Linked DNA regions of Mytilus edulis. The protein of the gene in region 3 purifies or fractionates together with the protein of the main gene of each other region. This does not show direct contact. Links are inferred from orthologs where the notes say so. Each region holds a gene or a part of one and is shown on either strand. Other genes may lie near its edges.

Region 1 (7,232 bases), on a different chromosome or scaffold from region 3:
TAACTATTTTTTTTATATTATATTAAGTAAAGATAAAGTACTAGTAGCAAAAGTAGCAAAAAAATATCAATTTAAATACTTTTTTTTTTATCATGTTTATGAAATTCATTGTTTCATGGCACTGAATGAATTAGTCCCTGTTATTTCTTATCTTTACATCAAAATGATACGTATTTTTAACAAAGTTATCTAACAAATAGTCTATTAATGCGTAGTTTTCTCTATTGGTATATTTTTTCTGTCTACCGTCCGTCTGTTGTCATTATCGTGAAAATGCGGATTTTTGACATATCTGGTCCGGTTCCGATCCGTAATTTACACAAAAATGTGCAATGGCGGCCGTAGAAAAATTTACGAAAATGAGTCCGAGAATAAACATTGTTTGACAAGAGATTGTGAATGAATAAGACGCTTTTAATGCATTAAATGAATTAAACATAAACTTAAGCCAATTATGACCACTTTTTAAAGAAGTATAAAACTTATTTTAGCTCAAAACCAAAATTCTCGCTCTCGTATTACCGGAAGAGAAAGAAAGTATTTTTTGGAGAGTTGCACAAATAAACGACCTTTTAAAAAATAAAAAATCGTTTTAATCTTTGAAATTTCGTAATACAAAACATAGATTTCGAATTGTTTTTGTGACTGCATTTTTCCATGTCGAAATTGGTGATTGACACGTGGTATTAATTTAGTCATGTCACAAGTGTCAGCTTGGGATATTCGCATCCAAACAGTTATCACCCTGAGGGCAATTAACACCTGGCTATTCAATCTCTTAATTGCCTTTAGTGTCCGACTTAAAGGGATTACAATTAAAGGTGATATAATTTTTATGATCATAATCGATAATAGATGAAAGTTCAAAATTGAGGACAAGTAAAATAGCATCTTTAAAATAATTATAGCGTCGCGGGAATTATTATACCATCACGGTGAAAAAATATAGCGTCGCGGTACCGCGACGCTAAAACGGCCTGGGGAGAACACTGGACTAATTAATAAAGGTGTTGATTGAATTATATGATAAAATGGTATGGTGAAATGGCGCCTGTCACATGTTACATAAAGGATTATTTGCCACTTTGCGATGCACGTGTTTGAAGCAAAATTTTGATGATACTACCCTTCTTTTAATGATAGTCCAGAAAAGAAAAAAAAATGTTATGACGAAAAATGTACAAAAGCAATAAAGGTCTCTGATTTAAACTTAATCATTTAACTTTGATATCGATAATTGATTTGAGTGGGTACTTTAAAGTCGTATCAGTGACACATGTTTCAAGCATAGTTTTACATTTTTATGATGGTCTAGAAAAGAAAACAGTCGTTATGAAGAAATCTATTCAAAAGTTTGAGAACAACCCCTCGAATGAGAGTAACCCTTCAATTTAATGACTACACCTTACATGAAGAATCAATTTCAAGTGACAAAATTGTAAAAAACACTTCTTGGTACAAAAGAGAAAATGTTTTCAATTTTGAAGAAACTTTCCCAAAAAACTGTACATCTTTCAGGTATCCAAGAACTTTTTATATTGCAGGTCATATATCTTCTTTATTTTTTAAAGTAAGTGGGCCCCCTTCTTTTAAAGTTGTTCAAAATATAATCATTTTCCTTATAAAGTTCTTTTTTTTAAAAGGTAAATGTTTAGTATTTATTCATTACAATGTAGACTCTAAAACAAGTTTGAGAGAATAATCATAGACAGCAATGGGTCAAACTCTTATTTAGGGGGGCTGGAAAAAAAATATATTTGTCTTACTTGGCGAAAAAAGATAATAAAGTGGCAAAAAATATATTGTTTTGGCAAAAGAGGTGGCGAAAAAAATAATTGACCCAGGGGAAACCCTACATAAATTCACACAAGCTAGAGTTGATATTGACCTGCTTTCATGTCATGTACGCAATTTGGTTATCCAGAAAAGGGACAGACAGGTCCAGTCTAAGTTACAATGTTGGCTGGTAGTTTTGTGTGTCCTATAAGGCTACATATAAAAAGGTATGTTTACAGTCGGTATTTGGTCCAACAGTCATGCAAAATATGTCTAAATGTAAAGATTTTAGTCAAAACCATAAAATAATAATGAATTTTATGACTCTTGCCATATTAAAAGAACAAAATGTTATTTACAATATTTAACCTTTTTTTATGAATTATCTAATAACTTCTTCTGTAGGCAACTAAAATTTATAATTTCTGAGTGATTTTAAATTTCATGATTGTCATTCTTAAAAGAGGGGCGAAAGATACATTTGTACCAGAGAGTCAAACTCGTAGATAGAAAATAAACTGACAACGCCATGGCTAAAAAAACAGACAAATAATAGTACACAAAACACAACATAGAAAACTAAAGACTAAGCAACACGAACTTAACAAAAACTGGGGGTGATCTCAGGTGCTTTGGAAGGGTAAGCAGATCCTATATAAACTCATACCAAGTTAGGGGCAAGTACCTCTTTAGACTTTGCTATAATATACATTTTCAAGTTTTTTGCTATAAACCTATGGTGTACTTATTCAACAACATGGTCTGATAATTCTAAAATTGGCCCATTGATTTTTTTTTTTTGGGGGGGGGCTAGCCAGGGCATATGCATAGACATAGAGAAGAATCCTTCCAGATCACTGAATTTGATGTTCTGAAAAATAAAAACATAGTCAAATTGAGTGGGATCTTGGGAATTTTCAGTGTTGTAGCAGTGGTAAGGGTCACTTAGTAGCAAAACTCATCTTTCTCTAAAAATGATGAAAATTTATAAGCTTCAGCTGTTCAGTTTGTAGACAGAAATTTTAATAATTTGATCAAACTGTCGACTAATTTGACAAAATGTTATAAAATATTGAAAGTTCACAAATTAATACAACCTTTTTGTCCAATTCTTCCCTTTGTTTTGCAGATTTTTTACCATCAGTTGGCATTTTGTTCTGAGAAATATGTTTTCTGAGCGCCCAATGCGGTCTCAGATGAGTTAAGGACTTTTTCGGCCTTCTCTTGAAAGAGTTAATTAAGGGGAGGTAATTATTATATCACCCGATCAGGTGCCCGTCTGCATGTACAAAGGTAGATCCTGCATTCAACTGGCGCTGCTACCTAGTAAAAATCTCGACAACATGTAATATAGTGATTTAAATTCAGCTATTCAGGTATTGTTATGTTTTAATGGTATCAAAAGACAAATTACAAATTATCATGTATTTTTATTTTTATTTTGAGTGTCGTATCATGACTGTCAGTCATAACAAGGATTTGTATAGTAAAAATTTTTGGTCATAAGGACATTAGTACTTAACACTTCACGCTAGTTCATCAGGTTTAAACGGAGTGTATTTGTCATTGATGTATTAATAGTTTTAGATAGGCCCCTACATGTGAATTTTTAATTTCATTATTTTGACTTTCATATGATTTTGTTTTATGCAATGTTCACCTATTACCGGACATCACTACACACTACATTCTGACAGGTTGACATTAATAATAATAATCAGTTTTGTATACAGAAAATAATTTCTGAATTAATTGAAATTGTAATTAATTATCGACTTTATTTCTAAAGTAATTATTTACATTGCAAAAATAATTCGTATTCAAAACTGTAATTAATTGAGTTGCAAAAGTAATTGTAATTAATTAAAATTGTAATTGTAACTAATTGACTTTCAAAAGCCATTGTAATTGTAAATGATTAAGTTGCAAAAGTATTCGTTTAATTTCATAATTAAATACATTTCTAAAGTACTTGTATTTTATCACAGTTCGAAATTAATTGTAGTAAATTACATTTCTAAGTTTTAATTAATTACTCTTTAAAAAGGTAATTAAATTTTATTTTTATTGAAGCCTTTTTTTGCAATTGTTATCCATTTTTAATTTAATACTTTTTATTGTTATAATGACCACATGTATGAAAGATAAACTTGTTTATGTGTTAGCTTTTCAGCTCCAGTGAGAACACATTGCTTGGATGTTTATGAAAACCTCTAAAATAAGAGGTTGCAGGCATACTTTAAATGCACTGTTTGTCAAATATAAAGTTTGAGGAACAATACTGGGTGCAGAAGGCAGAGCAGAATGGGGCATCATCCATATATCTAGTTTTAAAGTTATCTTGGATGCAGATGTAATAGTCAAGGGTTTAAAATTAGCAGGGCCCACTCGCCAATGGCCCCTAAAATTCAGTGTGGGCTACTTCAATTTCAACTTTTTTTTGTATAGAACTATATATATTGGCTACAAAACTTAAGCTGTTTGCTACTATGCCTAAATTTTAACTTTAATCACTGAACACAGTAGGGAATGACATTTTTTTCTTCTAATTTAGATCTGATGTAATAGATGATGGCAGATTCATCAGAAGTGATTGAGAAGACTGATCCTGGGAATGGAGATGTAATGGAGAAGAATGATTCTGCTAATGGAGATGTTCAACAGGAAGGAGAAGAGGAGAAACAACACTTTAGTTCTGTGGCATCAACATACTTTGACCAGAAAATCCAAATACCTGATGTTCCTCAGGTAAGAGAAAATTCTAATAACTGATGTTCCCCAGGTAAGTGTACAGTAAATCCCAATACCTGATGTTCCTCAGGTAAGAGAAAATTCTAATAACTGATGTTCCCCAGGTAAGTGTACAGCAAATCCAAATACCTGATGTTCTCCTCAGGTAAGAGAAAAATCCAATACCTTATGTTCCTCAGGTAAGAGTGCAGAAAATTCCAATACCTGATGTTCCTCAGGTAATAGAAAATCCCAATACCTGATGTTCCTCAGGTAAGAGAAAATTATAATGCCTGATGTTCCTCAGTTCCTCAGGTAAGAGAACATTCCAATACCTGATGTTCCTCAGGTAAGAGAAAATCCCAATACCAGATGTTCCTTGGGTGAGAGATAATCCAAATACCTGATGTTCCTCAGGTAAAGGGGAAATCCCAATACCTGATGTTCCTCAGGTAACAGATATTCCAAATACCTGATGTTCTTCAGGTAAAGGGAAAATCCCAATACCTGATGTTCTTCAGGCAAGTGTGCAGAAAACACTTATCTGAATAAATGTTCCACCACAAAATTTGTCCAGACTTATTGAATATTTTCCAATAGAAGTTCTATGTATAAAGTAAACTGATTTGAAGAGTTTTACCATTGATTTCAAAAGTCTATATGCTCAAATTTTTAAGATTGATTTCTTTATTTTGTTTTCAAACTACAGCAATTGTGTTATTTGTTCTTTGAAAACATTTGATTGATTTTAATTTCTTTGTGTCTGATGCATATTCAGGATTCTATTCTTTATTTACCTTAAACAATACAGTTTATCGGTATAATATGCATAAATATACAGTTTACAAGTTGTATAGCATTAACATACACATAAATAACAAACGTCAGAAATATCAGTTACATATTATACAGTTTGTGAGTTTCAGACTACATATAATAAACATAGGTCTTAAATATTATTCCTGCACTTAAATGCATAGAGTAAGTACTTTCCTAAATTACAGAGTTCCTTAGTGTTTTCAACAGAAAACAATTGTATTAATTTATAAGTTGATGGTCTAGTCCAATAATATTTCTTGATAAACTTTTTACGTATATCATTATAATTTGTACATTGTAAAATAAAATGAAATTCATCCTCTACTACATTTTTATCACACATAATACACATTCTACTATTTCTACTTATTCCATAAAAACGACCAGTTTCAATGCATAGATTATGTGAGGATAGGCGAATTCTCGTTATCCATTTACGAGCTATTACAGGAATACATTTTTGTAAATAAAATTATAATTCTACATTTGACACAATATACTTATATAATCTACACTTTGGTGATGTTTCAAGCGTGAAATGCAACTCTTGTTTAGCTTGATCATATATTCGTTGTTTGTTAATTGTAAAAATGAACTATCCAAGCAAAGTACCCATTGGTTGTCCCAATAATAATTCATACCAAGATCATATAAAATTGTTTAAATACAAGTTGCCCAGTTTTTACATTTATTGCTATTTGCTACTAGTTCTTTGTAACAAGACTTTATAATACAATTTTCACTACCGTGAATTTTAGTCCATAATTTGAGCATCCTAAAATTTCGCTCATATAACAATGGAAATCTTCCTAATTCATAATATACCATTACATTAGAAGTGGACCTCTTGACACCTAGTAATGTTTTACAATAGTCCAAATGAACTTTTTCTACATTTGGTGCTCTATGAACACCCCAAACTTCACAACCATACATTAAAATACTACATACATATATAAGTGTCAAATGAACTTATAGAAGTAACAGTGTTCAGGTATAAGGATAATGCCTTTTTCCTCATACTAAACTCAGCTTTCCTGCCTTGTTCAGCACAGTGGTTTTGAGTAATATAAAATTTACAATTATAATGAAATAACACACCCAGATAACAAAAATGATCTACAATATCTAATGGTTTACCATTATAAATCCATATCTCAGTAAGACTAATTTTCCCACCTTTACGAAAAACTACTATCTTTGTTTTTTTGGTGTTAACTGAAAGACCCCATTTCTCAGTATAACCAGATAAAGTATTTAACATATTTTGTAAGCCTTGGATTGATTCTGACATCAAAATCATATCATCAGCATACATTAATAAAAAAAGTGTTATGTCCTGAAATTCAAGTATAATGATAACATATTTTAAAAAATATATGTAATAAAATAATTGAAATCAATGTTAATTAAGTAGGATATAAGACATGTACACACTTATATCAAATTAAGGATGTTTTTTATCCTGCTTTTACTTTATTTATCTTGTTGGATCATCCTCATCTAGGTCCTAATGACATTTTTTACTATTTATTGATAATAGATATGGTCAGCACAAATTAAAAAGACATGATAAGATCCATTAGAGTTACATTTCTGGATAACTTATATCGTTAATTGGGTACATTGTATATAAGTTTAAACTTACAGAACTATTGATATATATATATATATTAAATGTTATTTTGAATGTGGCAGTAATCTATCAAACCTTTGACACCAGAAAAAAAAGACATCATCTAATATTTTATAAATATAAAATTGAGAATGGACTTGGGGAATGTGTCAAAGAGACAACAACCTGACCATAGAACAGACAACAGCAGAAGTTCACCAATAGGTGTTCAATGCAGGGAGAAATTCCCGCACCCAGAGGCGTCCTTCAGCTGGCCCCTAAATAAATATAT
Region 2 (7,299 bases), on a different chromosome or scaffold from region 3:
AAAAGAAAATATAACAAGATTGAAGACGCCGTTTGAGTAGTTTTTAGGTGATCATCAACGGAAGCCACAATCCTCACTTTATACACACTCAAGCTCATTAGTGTAAATCACAAATTAATTGTTTTGTAAACATTTTAAATACTTTTTCATGAACATTAACAATGTATCACTAATTATTTATCAAAATTCTATAAAAGATAATCTTAGGTAAACACTCATGGAAATAGCATGTCATAAATCAATACAGTGGTCAGTGACCGGAAATTTAATTACACGTGTATTGTCAGATTAACTCTTCAATCCATTTAAATCCCGGAGGTCATGTTTTGACATATATGTGTATTAGTTCGAGATAAAAAATGAATTTTGAATGCTTTGTTAACCTTGGGACCGTACATTTAGTTCGACTCAACCGAAATTTCGACTCATCCAATTTCGACTCATCAGGAGTCGAATTACATACTTTTGTATGGAATAAAGTTCGGGACCACGTGAAAATTTCGACTCATCCGAAATTTCGAGTCAACCGAGTTCGAGACAACGAGAGTTAACTGTATAATAAATGAATGCACATTATAGCATCTATAGAGAGATATTGAAGTGATTTTAAGTTAAAGACAACATACTAATATTAAGTATCACATTCTGTGCATGTTTTGCCACCTGAAGGGATGGGCTAGCTATCAAATTGATCACTGTTTTGATGACATCTCTTGCTGAATCCCAATTCAAAAGTGTTTGGTCATCTTCTCCAGCAAGTTTTAGCTGAAAAAAAGATTTTAAAGGACATTGATTACAGTAAAATGAACATAATGATTCACAAGCATATGCCTGAATATTTAGCCTTAAGACTGGTGTATGGGTTTATATAAGTCGAAAGTACATGTATGTGCACAATAAAACATTACTGGAGGGGGGCTTCCCCAGAAATTATTTTTTCTGGTAAAAAATGGTATGGTATCATACTTGGTAACTTTATTATCATAAAAATTATCTTATTAACTCAATTTAAGAAGCTACTGATGTATTCTTATAATATTAAGTCACTCTAAAATCTTTTCACTGAGCTTCAATAAACCTTATAAATCGCTATTTATTCCAATCCAAAAAGTTCAAATATTGTCCACTCTTTCAAACCAGTTGAAGCTATCTGGAGCCCTGTATAAACAATGTACTGTGCATGCAAATTTTCAAAGAGTTGTGTTTAAACCCTTGCAAACACTTCGAACAAAGCATTTTTCTTACTTTCATTCATAAACTATACAAATTTCACAATGTTCACTTTCTAAACATTTCTGCCCTCATCTCGTTACTGATGAACTTTGTTCTTGGTTCACTCGACCCAAACAGGAAGTTGTCCAAGTTACTGTTTTTCCTGGATTGAACTAAATAGCAATAAGGTTTATCAAATTGCCCCTTCATCCAACATGAGTGGACATAGATCTATATAAATAATCCTTACTAAAACATAGAAGAATGTTACCTGTCTTAAACATAAACACTGTATCGTGGTAGAAGGGTGCTTTAATCCTATATCAAAATCATTTTTGAATAGGTCCAACCCAACAGCAGGTGACCATGCTAGCAAAACATTTTTTAAAATACTGCAACATTCTTCAATGATTTCACTGAAAGAAAAAAACAATAAAACAGTCACTAAACATAACAATAAAATAACATTTAAATGCAATATATGAAGCTATCTATTCTAATTTCAGATTATCTTTTAAAAAATTGTTTTTGGTTTTGAACAAGCTGTTAATTTAATCATGTTAATAGAAACATAACAATCTTAGATCTGCATGATCTGTGCTTTGTGTCTTTTTTGTTGTAAGAGATGTATTAATAACCTGCAAAATTCATTTATTTAGTTTGATGTTTTATCGATCTGATGAGTTAAGCCCTTTTCAACTGATTTTTATATTTTTTCTCATGTTTATATTGTTATGCACCACTGTCTAAGTTTATAAAAAGTGCCTGTCCAAAGTCAGGAGTCTTTGAATTGTTTCCTATATCAAGTGTATTGAATGTTGAGTAGATATAATAAGATGTGGTACAAAAAATGTATGAGTGACAATGAGACAACTCTCATGGCATCCAAGACACAATTTGTAAAATTAAAGTAAACCATAAATACATTGTAGGTAAAAGTTTGGTCTTCCAAATGAAGCCTTGGCTTCTACCTAACAGCAAACTCTAATAAATCTATTATTCTGATTATTATGCTGAAATAACAGGAAGCAGCAACAGAAATAATAGAGATTATAACACAATACATGTATATGAGGATGGTGAAGAGGAACCCTAAGGTTGCTGTATATAGGGCACCAAAAATGACTAGTGTAAAATCTTTCAAATAGGTAAAACAAGGTCTAATTTATATTAAAAAACAAGAAACATGTATAAATCACATCAAGAAACAACAACCACTGGACATGCTGAACATCAGGTTCCTAATTTAAAAAAAATGTAGAACAGGTGCAAACAAATGCAATGAGTTAAGGGCTATACGTTTTAAGATACCAACCTTAACCCTTACATGTACCTGAAACAAATGGTATAACATTTGAGACACATTATAAAATATCAATAGGAAATGGCTTAACCATGTTAACTCAATATTAACACAAGTGATTTTCATCTTGAATTTAGTCTAATGTAAATTATACATAGATAGTCAACCTTCCTAATGATGTAAGCAAATACTGTGGAGATCAGTCTTTATAAGCCTAAACTGTACAACGCTGGAGATACATGGAGATATTGTGAAGTATAGGATGACTTGCAAAATTGAAGTAAAAACATGAGTTACAAACCCGTCATCAGTGTTTAACAAGCCAAATAACTTCTGTACAGATGAAACTGAGACTACTGTGTGTAGATTTATTGTTCTGACAGATGATAAAGCTGCTTTCAACTCAACCAATGTTGATAAAACATCTGTTGACAGTGTTGTCGTTTCCAAAGACCGACAAATGTCGTCTACATTTGCCGCCATTTTTACGATGAACAGTCTAGAGAGTGTCGAATGTAGATATACATTTCTCGGAAATCTCGGACTCTTTTATTAAAAATATACTGATCAAAACAATCAGCTTCAGCAGCCGATTCAGATCAATAAACAGATAAGAGAGTTCCAGTCATACGCCATTTTTGATGCGAAACAGAAAATTAAAGATGGAAGGGTGTAAATATTTAATGAAGAAGCAATTATAAAATGCCTAAGCGTAAAAATCTGTCTGGTGACGATGATCAATCGATTCCATTGCCTATCCAGGCTTTTTTCTGGCGTCAAACAAGGTGGGCGTATTAAATGTTAATTTCATTAATCATGTTAATCCACATATTCTTCATTAATCATGTTATTGAAAGTTTCTTTTCCAAAAATTTAGTTTTCACAAAGCAATCAAGAAGTTTTTGGTGCCATTTGCATTGATTGAAATGTCAAGACTGAAGGGGGAGCACTCTATGTATAAATTAATATAAACACAACAAAGAGTTCAAATGCACCCATTTATGCAACACTTTAAATTTAAATCTTGTAACCATTAATTTTGCAGACGTTAATTATGTTTAAAAATTATATGATAATTTTATTTGTTTTTGTTCCTGTAAATACACAAAGTTTGTTATTTTTAACTTGGCGTGTACTGGTTGACACACGCGTTCAGTATATTTGCGTTATGGAATTTCCGACTGCAGATTAACCACATAGAAGTAGAAGTAGAAGATATAAATATTTACAAAAGTTACAGAAACCACCCAAATTTTTAATATGATTCTTATTGTTCAATGAACAAGGCAGTGTCTGCATGTTCCCGCATGCCGGTACGCATAGCTAATTCGGCCATCATATTAGGCTATGCGTAACCGCAACCGATTTTTTAATAAACGGTCATATGATCAGGAATAGAACATAAAAGATCATGAAGATACCCCAAAAAATCAGTTATTTACGGATTTTGTGAATTCAGTGTTCAAAGAATGGCAAATAATAAATAATAATTTGTGTTTAATGTATTATTTAAAAAAAAAATAGAAATTAAACGTAAATGCACATTAAAAGAAGAATAAAATTATACTGAATTTGAATAATTGTATGTTAACAATGGTTAATAAAAAACTTGTGTGAAAGTTATTTTCTAATAAAATTCAGAACAGAAACCTGGACATGCTGGAAACATAAATTTTAAAATATGATCTAAAACAACTTAAAATAAAGTTTGAGTGTATACATAATTGAAGATGATAAGATAAAATTTCATATGCCTAAAACTAGATGCATTTGATATTCACATATTTATGATTATTTATTTCAAGAACTTGAACTGTCCTAATTTTGTATTGTTTTTCACTTGTTTGTTATACTTTTTTAATTGGATTATCTTCTAAAAAATAATGGTGTATATCAAATTATATCAATAATTATAATTAATATTAAATAAGATATTAAAATAATAACCAAGGTCATTTCTAGGGGGGGGGGGGGCTAGACCATTTTCGGGTCGCCTGGATTGGCCAATTTTAGCAATGGGAAATCGGGATTGCCTTGTTTAAAGATCGGGAGTTCGGGATAGAAAAACATTGGGATACAGGAAAGCCACGTTTTTAGCCACAGGAATGTGGGATTATTATGTTGAAATATTACGGGATTGACAAACAACTGTACCTTGGACAAAGTGCCATGTTCATTATACTTCAATCAGAATCGCATCTAGAAACAGAGTAGATCCAGATCAGAGTATACGTACATGTAAACCCCAAGGGTGACTGAGGTCACTTGGTCTTCTCCAAAACGGCAGTAAAACGCTTGCTGAAGTTGGCTGTGCGGGATGTGTCAAGTTCGCAGTCACGTCGGTCAGAATGGGGACGTTAAATCGGATGCCTCATGTAAAGAGAGTGCCACACTCTGTGCATGTTAAGAATCCTTGCAACAACTCTTTGAGGCCTGTTGCAAGGCAAAATTTCTGTCCCTATCTAATCTACCCTCATTTTCCAGTGGCAGTCCAAATATCTCCGACCATCATTCCAAAGGGCCTCTTTAATGACAAGACCTACCTATTGTACTTATTGTGAACTTGTTCTCGTCTGGAATATGCATGAAGTATTTGCCACTGGACATTAAGCAACCAACAATCAATCAAAGTACATGTGATAGTACGTTTAGAGATACAGCTTTGAGCTCGGATCAGGTCTTTAATTATTCCGTTAATTAAACGATTCTCAAATTATATCAATTAGAACCCTTTTGTTGTTCCACAAAGACAAACATTCTTTGGCTTTCCTTAAGGAAAAAACAAACATTGTGCTAAAGGACAGCGAAAGCTTCACTGACTTAATCAAATTAAAAAAATATGTTAGGCCAATTAAAATTAATTGCTAGATTTTCATCCCCGCCCGCCCCTCTGAAATTGTCCCGCCCTGATTTTTTTTATTTAACAAAAAAAATATTTCCGGATTTTGTTCATGTCCGTTACCGGGAACCATCGATAATTTCGTTTCATTCAAAACTTCCTGTTTCAAATTTCGTATTTGTATTTCTTCGAGTAATCTAACAAAAATGATTAAGTCGACATATTCTGCTGCTCTATAATGACAACATCATCTACCGAGAATAGAGATTGATAACGAGAAGGGCGTGAAATATTCGAGTTACGAGTAAAACGCCTTGTCCTTGAACGCAAATTGCAGTAGTCACTAGTGAATCGAAAACCGTGTTTTTTCTTTATTTATACGATGACTTTGTGTCAGGAAATTTGGACTGTGAATGATATCCAAAGCGCAAGAATCGTAGAACACATTGGTACAAAAAACATGACTGTATTAAAGAAATTTGCACAAGCACGAACTTGTTTGATTTATGACCGTATATTGAGAAAAAAAAGTCGACAAACACGCATTTTAATTATAACAAGCCCTTATATTTACCCATGGCTGTTGTTTTTGTTGACAAACAGCAAACACCCTTTGTAACTATCCCAATACCCTCAATTTAGTCATTAAACTGCTTTTCGGTTAAGTTCATGTTTTACATTGTACTTTCAATACTGAGTTTACATTTTATTCTGTACTCATAATACTTGTGTTGCATACAATTGTACCAATACATTTTATTGATTTTATGGGGACTAAAAACCATTGCTTAGAAAGCAAAATAAATTTGGTGTAGGTATAGTCAAACTGAAGGGGGCATTTTTCTTCTTTTTGATGTATACTATAAATAGGTTTCTAAAGCGGCAATTACATGTTTAACAGTGGTTGCCAATCAGGGATTTTTATTTAAGAGTTTAAAAAATAGTGTAGGATTCCTTTTACGGCATGTATATACATTATACAAGCTTGTTTTCCACTAGCATATACCCTGCGGTATGAAGAACTCGTGACGAGGGTTTCATATGAAATAAAATTTTAAAAATAAAATCCTCCCACCCGCCCCATTTTTTTCAAAAATTTGGATGAAAATCTACTAATTGATTTTAGTTGGCCTTATCAATTATTGGGGAATTAATGAATCGGCCTGTGAAAAAAGGATGGGGAGAAATATTAATACAAAGATGACCAAGGAAAAGTATATTTATACACAGCATCAATGGGATCCCGAGAAAACATTCCTTCAAACTGAAAGATCAAATTTGATAGGTACATGTAGAAAATTATCTCTTTCTGTGAAAGTACTAATAAGTATTCATTCAATCAACTTGAAAATATCGTTCGATTTTTTATTAAAGTTGTATATACAAAACCTTACCCCCTTTTTTCCCCCTAAACGTGTGCATCCAGTTTCTTATCAAGCCAAATTCTTGTTTTGACTTGAACTGGAATTTGGCCAATTTTCTGACTGGCTACTGAAGATTTTGGTGAACAAAAATGCTTATATACAGCTTGACTTCACGGTAACAGTGATAATACATATTCGGATTGGTTAAGCTGAAAGACTTTGAACATTAATCATAAGCATTGAAACTTTAAACTTTTAAATTTATCGGGATCATGATTTTTAACAAAATATGTCTGGGATTGCGAAAACTTCCGGGTTCATTTCACATTTTATTCCCAATCCAATGACATGAAATTATTAAACCTGATGCAGAAACGCATACCCTACAAAGAAAAATTTGGCTATTGGTACCCGCATGCAGGTACAATGTATGCTCAGACACTGCCTATTTATATAAACAAATTATATAAACAAATCCATAATATATGGGATTGCCAATAGGCCCCTTCACGGTTAAACTGGACCCCTTTTATGTTCCCTTATTGCCAAACTAACAACAGGTAAGGCCTAAATCCTGCAGT
Region 3 (7,689 bases):
CATGTGAAATCATTCTGTTTGCGTCTTCTATGTTGTTCTACTGGTCTATATATAGTTGTTTCATCTGGATGATATGGTGTCCATGATGTATCTCTTCGTGACCATTGAATGTTAGTAGATGGTTGGTCACAATTTCTATCTTCCTTCAAAGCCTTGACATCTTGTGAGAGTTGTTTCACCAATGCTGTAAGTTGCTGAATTTGCCTATTTTCTACTGTTGTTGTCGTTGATTTACTCGTAGCCTGTGTAGGTGGTTTCTTTTTCAAAGATGGTTTGAGGTTATGTTGATTCTCTATTTCTCTTGTAGCTTTCAGTAATGAGTGAAAATCGGTGATGGTATCTTTCTTGTAGCGGACAATATTCTTCATCTCCGGTCTTAATCCATCAAAGAACTTTGACGTAAGCATATCGTTGATGTTTTCCTCTGTGACATTCTTTCTGTTCTTGGCTTTGCTTAGTATTTCCTCTAATCGACAAGCCCATGTTGCAACGTCTTCATCATCTTGCTGTCTAGCCGTGTAGAATTGGCCAAGTAAAGCTTCAGGCTGATCAACAGATCCGTATATACTGTCCATCTTATCAATGATGTCGTCAATGGTTGCTTCAGGACCAAGTCTCATGGGAACCTTGCTAGCATCTCCACGTAGAGAACGTCTAATAGCCATCGTGATGGTTTCATGTGTATGTCCTGTCTTGATGAGACACTGTACCTCATATCTCCATAGGTCGTATGGTGTACCAGTCTTCACATCTCCGGAAAACGCTGATATCCGCGGTAAATAGGCATTACATAAATCATCATCAGTTTCTTTGTAATCTTCCATCCAGGTCTTAAAATCATCTGGTGTCTGAGCGCATGGTTTGAGATCCATCTCCTTGAAGGCCATAACTATGTTGCTGATCTCATCCTTAGATAGATAATCCGACATGGCTGTACAAAATAATAATACCTAAACTGTAAAAATAAAATGCTGAGATGAAATCTGAAATAAACAAAAGCTTCTGAAACAAAGAAATGTTAAGTTCCTAAAAGAAAAAAATATGTCTGAAATGAATACCAATATATACCAAAAGTTAATGCTAAAACAAAAAAAAAATGTTAAGTACCTACAATAGAAACAAAGTATCTGAAATAAAAAAATATATGAATAATATTAATTTATCCTAAAATACAAAGAAATTATCTGGAATAAATTAAATAAACAAAAAGTTTTTAAGTACCTATAACAAAAATAAAGATTCTGAAATCAAATAGAGAAAAAAATAAGATTAAGTACCTGAAAACTAAAAGAAAACAATAAGATTAGTATCTGCAGTCTAATGTCTAATCTACAATAAAGATAGAATTAATGCAAATCCAAATATGATACAATATAATCTGGAAATCTCAAAGAAATATCCTGTAAAAAAAAAAAAGATTAGTAACTCTATGGTCTGAAATCAAAATTATGATTAAGTATCAACAAACTCGACAACAGTGCCTAAATAAATATAGAGTGATATAATACTGGACTGAAATGACCAACTCCTCTGAAATAAACAGACTAGATGGTAAATGCAACTCTGCAATGGTAAATCAATATACTGAAATCAAAATTCTGATTACTATATGTATACACAAAAATGGATCTGAGAAAACACTATATATAAGTATAATGTACACAGTGGCTAACAATACCTCACAACTGAAAAGCAATGAGTATGTATAATAAAAACAAATATGAATAGTATCAATATACACGTACGTACCTTTTTTAAAGTTCCTACCCAGCTATGTCTCTGCAAATCACACACACCTAATACTCACCAAAATGTGTGCAATTTATTCCTTACTGAGTATGACTAGCTGCTACATATAATCAAAATATATGTAACTATATAGGGGAATATATATAATACAATGTAATGTAAAGTAGAAACTGGTACTGCTGCTGCTGTAAATAATATCAATATATCATCAATGAAATCGCTGAAAGTCCTGAAACTTAAAATGTATTAAAGAATCAGTCAGTCAACAACAAGAACCGAAGCAACAGATCTACCTATACAACACAATGTAGACACCTATCAAGTACCTCAATAACCAGAACCTTATCAATCAAACAACACGTATACTTACTTAACTATGTATACTTCTAGTTCTTCAATGAGCTTTATACCTACTTCTTCAAATGTACAAATTACTCCAGTCGGTTTCTTTCTGTACTTATATTCCTCACTTACCCTCAAATTTTTTGTAGGTGAATATCTACGACAGCAAAGTTCTGTGGAACTTTACGAGTAAAAGAGTATTTGTCGTGTCTCTAGTCTTTGCAATAATCCTAACTGACAGATGTGGGGATTGGGCAGTTATGAATCTATTTAATATGTACAGAATAATATGCAAATATCAACACAATATATATGTATTTACAAAGTCAAATATAATATATCAATTACAAACAGTAGCAACTGTTTATTCTTCTACCTATGTGTCACACTTTAAATTCTAATGTAAATTAACTAACTGTAAAAGAGTTCGAAAGCTAATTATATAATCAAATTCTGAATGAAAGTTTAAAGTAATTTCAACAAAAATTTACAACAAAAATTTAAATCCAAATACAGCTAATATGTCTGAAATAATTTCAAATAATTTCCGAAAAAAAATCAAAGAAATTTATTTAAAAAAAAAATTAAGTGACACAACAAAATGTGTATTACAAGTCAAGTACAAATAAACAAATACATTCAATGTCAATCAACTAATGAGTATATATCAAAAGTTTTACTAAATGATGTTTATTTATAAAGTCAAAACACACACAGTGTATAAATACAACTCAGTTTAATAGTAACATCTATAGTCAATCGGTAATCTCTGAAGTGTATCGACATCTACGGGTATCGTGTATTGCCAAAATACGATCAATTCTTCATAATCTACATTATCCACCAAAAACGTCTGATCTACCAGAAAAACTACGTTGGGCGCCATTGTGATAGTCGTGTTTTACGGGGGTTCCATAAACGACAAGTCTAGGGTTCTTTGACATCACTTTATTAAGTTAACATAGGAATAAATAAATAACCCTGCAATAACAACAGCATATAGTTATTACAATTATCAATATCACAGTCTTATCAAAGTCTTATACTATAAACATATAAATATTATACTGGCGTAATAACAATGTTACAAGATCGCATATAATATTCTATTCCGTATACAATAATCTATACTGAGTATCAAGAATGCGGTGACATTCACAATATGCAATACACTCGCAATTATATCTTTCTAAATACAAATGCATGCTTTTGATAAGTCGTATCAAATAGTATATCATTATAATCAACCAAGCGTATTATAAACAAGTCGAATGTACTGTACTTCATAAACGAGTGTCATTCATAAAACCTTTAACATACAAAGGTTATTATCTGTTCACTATAGTATTCTTTTAATTTCGTATGCACTACTGTAATGTATAATATCTATGTAGGTACAATATAATATAATATGACCCTTACCAATCTGTGGAACCAGGTTATATATCTAACATCTACAGTACAACCAGTATGTTACAGGGACATCATAATCTATGTGTCCTGAAAATAATACACAATAGTAAATACTAGGATCTAGGAAAATAGTGATCCCTTACATAAAATACAGCATATTAAAGACTGATATAATAAAATCAAGCTATTACACAGAATAACCATATATGACAATATGAATGCAATTGTCAATGTGACGTCATAGATCCATAACCGAAAGGTCAAGGTCACTTTCAAAATCATTCATAAATCTCCCTTTCTACATTCAAACTACAGATTCAAATCATATATTCTCAGATTAATACATCAACTATCTTACTCCTATCATATCTAAGGTCTATGGGCATACTTACCTATAAACGGGCAGAATTGTATAGCATGCACTGCATACGCCTTTCATACACCACAAAGAATATAAAATCTACTTACCAGATATAAAGAATGTAATTTCCAATAACTACAGTTGTTCCAAAGTATGGAAACTTCAGTGAATAATAACGAGCACTGAATATAATGTTTCTATATAAGTTTTATCACTATATACGGTTTAAACAATAAGTATATATTAAATTTGTATGTCTCCAATTTTCAAGAGTTAACCACCATTACTTTATTTCCAAAATCTGAGGTGTGTCCAGAATGACCAATAAGAACTGACCATAAAGGTAAACAAGGTGTGACAATTAATTTACTAATGAGTTGGACAGGTAGATACTATTACAACTATGCCCAATGAAGTATGACTGACTAGAACTTTCATACATTTTAAAGTGTGAAGAGATAATGAACTATAAATCAAAAGATCAAATAATCAAAGTGAAGTAATTAAGTCTAATATCTGGCATATCATAAAATGTAAAATACTAATAAATGAAATGCGTAAAAATATACTCTGTCACAATTATTCAAAATTTAGGTTTATCATATTAGTCAAAAAATATATGTAGGACATTCGTTCTGAATATACATGAAATATTTGCCACTGGACTTTAATTAAGCAAACCAACTGTAGGACATAGTCTTGATTAGCTGACATTTAAGGTAGCGCCTTCCTCATACTATTATCATTTATACATTTCTCGTTTTTGCTATTTATTTTGCCACTGACAACGGGTAAAAAAGACAGCATGATTTTAAAAAAAATTATCAGTGTTGCGACATTACAATAGAAATCTACACTTTACACTAGTTTAAATACGAAACTAAACTTACAGCTCTGTATTTCAAAGATGGTAGGTCTGCTTTATCATCGTAAAAGAAGTAAAATACACTTTCCTAGCAGAAATTTAGTGATTTTTGTTCTAAATTTCTAATGCATATGATCATGAGATTCACTAAAATACAATTTCTATAGGAGTTTTGAATATGAGGTCCAAATTAACACGGGAAATGAAAAAAAGGGGGGACTATGCCGGTTGGACATAACTTACTTTGTTAATTTTTACTCCGGAGTCCTTCTTCAGCTTTTTTGCTATGATGAACCTTTAAAGTTAATGACTGACTGGTAGTTTAGATAGTTCATGAATACACATTCAAGTATAAAAAAAATAACAGTAGTAGAAGTAGAAAAAGGTAAAATAACAAAAATAACCAAAATTAGAAAAATATCAAACTCTTAAGAAAATTTAAAATGTGAAATTCAATGTGAAAGTTCGGAATCAATATTAAAAGATTAAACAAATTGTCTCAGGAAAAATCTTGGTTTTTATTTGCCACAAAATCTCCTTTTACTATTAACATGATTAAATGCAAGGAAACAATAAATAGACATTAATACAGCCGAGCATTTTCCCCGTTTCGGGCCGAATCCTTATATCGTTGATATGTCAAGTCAATGCACTATTATTGTTTTTATACTGCAATCTAAAAAAACATTTTCAATTGTTGTTTATTGTGTTAATGTTATTTATTTGATTTAAATATTGGGAAAAATCCCCCTTTAAAAAGTAAAATCACAAAAATACTGAACTTAGAGGAAGATCAATTGGGAAAGTCCATAATCACATGGCAAAATCAAATAACAAAACGCATCAAATACGAATGGACAAGAAAAGGCCTCATATCACACAGACGGAGAAATATAAAACACGATGAAATGTACATAATTACCGCAATCAATGATGAACGAATTCGTTGCAGACTAAAATATCAACAATAAACATAAAACATAATGATTTATAGGTAAGGTTGCAAACAAAAAAATATTAATAAGTGAAATATGTTTTCCCAAAAATTGCAAAAGAAACAAGTTTGAGTCGTTAAACGCATCGTTGTTTACATTGAAAACAAGAACAGGTTGAAGAGTTCGTATGAATAATTAAATATAATTTCGACAATTTCTATTTTTAAAATATTCATGAGGAAAAGTGATATCAGGTCAGTGACTGTATATGGCATAGAAATATACAGTCAACGCATTTTGACTGCTCAAATAGAACGAGTGCAGTATAAATATAAATAATGCCTTTGCATTTGGAATATGTACAAAAAATATTTTTTTGACTGTTTTGACACTATTGCAGTTTTAAAATTTCATAATTCACATGGCTACAGAAGGGGTCACAAACCTTAATCACTATAAAACAAACAAATGTGTGAACAAACTTATAATCAAAGCACATAAGCAAAAACGAAAAACAAAATACAGAAAAAGATATACTAAACAGTCAAAGTAATAACTTACAAAAAAATTATAAGAACAGTACCTATAATCTAGACCAACATGACCAAGGTATATTTTTGTCATAATTAATTAATATATAATGAATTCTGAAAGTGTGACTGTTATAAAGAAAAAATAATTCTGATTAAAAACATGTTTTGATTTATTCCTGGAATTGCTTCTTATTGTGATCCTGTTTTATCTGTTATAAAATAAGATTTGTTCCTGTTTTGCAGGATTAAAACTTTTCAGACCATTTTTGGAATGGTTTTTAACAATGATTGTTTTATATTTCTTCAAAATATACATGTACATTACAAAAGATACAAATCAGTACAGTACACTTAAAACTATCTAAAAGATAACAAAACATATAAAACAAACCAATGATTATAATAAGGCAAGACATAGAACATACATGTAGTACCAAAGAATGCTAATTATAACAGTTTTTAAATTAAAAGAAAGGCTTCAAGCTCAAAGCCTTTTATCAACTTGATATGAAACCATACCATTCTACATTAATTTAATTGGCTGTGCTTCAAACTACATGTAGATTTCATACTGCATCGACAAGAAGACCTGATTATGTACTATGCCCAAAACAAACCTGTGCAAAACTTCAATTTATGAAAATAGAAGCAATAATTTAGTCTAGTTTCAAATGTAATTGGTTTCTTTCTTTCTTTTCAGTCTAGGAGATATGATTCCAGAACAACTATTTTTTCCCCAGAAGGTAAGAATAGAAAGTGAAACATACTACATATATATATTTAATAAAACACATTTTAAACTGTTTGCACTATCATAATTGTGTACATGTATTATTATTCGTTTGTACTTTCATAATTATGTACATGAATGTTAAATTGTTTGCACACATATGCAAGATGAATGTACAAATTTGGCTTTGTACCAAGTTTATATTTGTTTTGTATAATAAAAGAATGGATTTGATGTGAGTATTTATGTAATACAGGGAGGTTGTACCAAGTGGAGTATGCCATGGAAGCAATAGGACATGCAGGAACTTGTTTAGGGATATTAGCCAGTGATGGAGTGGTTTTAGCCGCAGAGAGAAGAAACACAAACAAATTGTTGGATGAAGTCTCATATTCAGAAAAAATCTATAATCTCAATGAGTAAGTTTTAACCTGCACATCAAGAATTATATTGTGACTTAAAGATACCAGATTATGAAATATAGAAACAATGAAGACATAGATTTCATAGTATAAACGTTTCCATACACTAACCGACACATGGTCTCTCCTGTGTATCCTGTTTTAAAAGAATAAAAGATTTTGTACAAGACTTTAGCTTTTTAGATAGATATGAGTTTGAAAAATGAAAATGAAATAATAATGTATTTATATACCTTTAAATATGTGCATTTAAGAAATAACTGCATATTTCTTGGTTGGTCTTTATGGTTGAAGTCATTTTGACATAATATTTATTAGTTCAGTTGTGATTGAACTTAA

Evidence for each region. Proteins that work in one complex are often made in the same cells at the same time.
Region 1: the proteins of proteasome subunit alpha type-4-like (region 3) and proteasome activator complex subunit 3-like fractionate together in Homo sapiens (co-fractionation; 3 studies listed by BioGRID, with this or other methods). This does not show direct contact. The link is inferred for Mytilus edulis from reciprocal best matches to the Homo sapiens genes PSMA4 and PSME3.
Region 2: the proteins of proteasome subunit alpha type-4-like (region 3) and 26S proteasome non-ATPase regulatory subunit 5-like fractionate together in Homo sapiens (co-fractionation; 3 studies listed by BioGRID). This does not show direct contact. The link is inferred for Mytilus edulis from reciprocal best matches to the Homo sapiens genes PSMA4 and PSMD5.

Annotation. Positions count from the first base shown.
Region 1 is NC_092345.1:106,000,593-106,007,824, reverse strand, and holds the start of proteasome activator complex subunit 3-like, read right to left. Parts: upstream 3,022-7,232; 5' UTR 2,928-3,021; coding exon 2,874-2,927; intron 1-2,873. Other genes in the region: natural resistance-associated macrophage protein 2-like, read left to right, coding at 4,345-4,524. UniProt on the Homo sapiens protein: Subunit of the 11S REG-gamma (also called PA28-gamma) proteasome regulator, a doughnut-shaped homoheptamer which associates with the proteasome. 11S REG-gamma activates the trypsin-like catalytic subunit of the proteasome but inhibits the chymotrypsin-like and postglutamyl-preferring (PGPH) subunits.
Region 2 is NC_092345.1:26,665,926-26,673,224, reverse strand, and holds the start of 26S proteasome non-ATPase regulatory subunit 5-like, read right to left. Parts: upstream 3,022-7,299; 5' UTR 2,999-3,021; coding exon 2,817-2,998; intron 1,629-2,816; coding exon 1,484-1,628; intron 766-1,483; coding exon 627-765; intron 1-626. Other genes in the region: protein unc-80 homolog, read left to right, coding at 3,218-3,300. UniProt on the Homo sapiens protein: Acts as a chaperone during the assembly of the 26S proteasome, specifically of the base subcomplex of the PA700/19S regulatory complex (RC).
Region 3 is NC_092347.1:92,229,724-92,237,412, forward strand, and holds the start of proteasome subunit alpha type-4-like, read left to right. Parts: upstream 1-4,689; 5' UTR 4,690-4,772; coding exon 4,773-4,775; intron 4,776-6,898; coding exon 6,899-6,941; intron 6,942-7,184; coding exon 7,185-7,347; intron 7,348-7,689. UniProt on the Homo sapiens protein: Component of the 20S core proteasome complex involved in the proteolytic degradation of most intracellular proteins. This complex plays numerous essential roles within the cell by associating with different regulatory particles.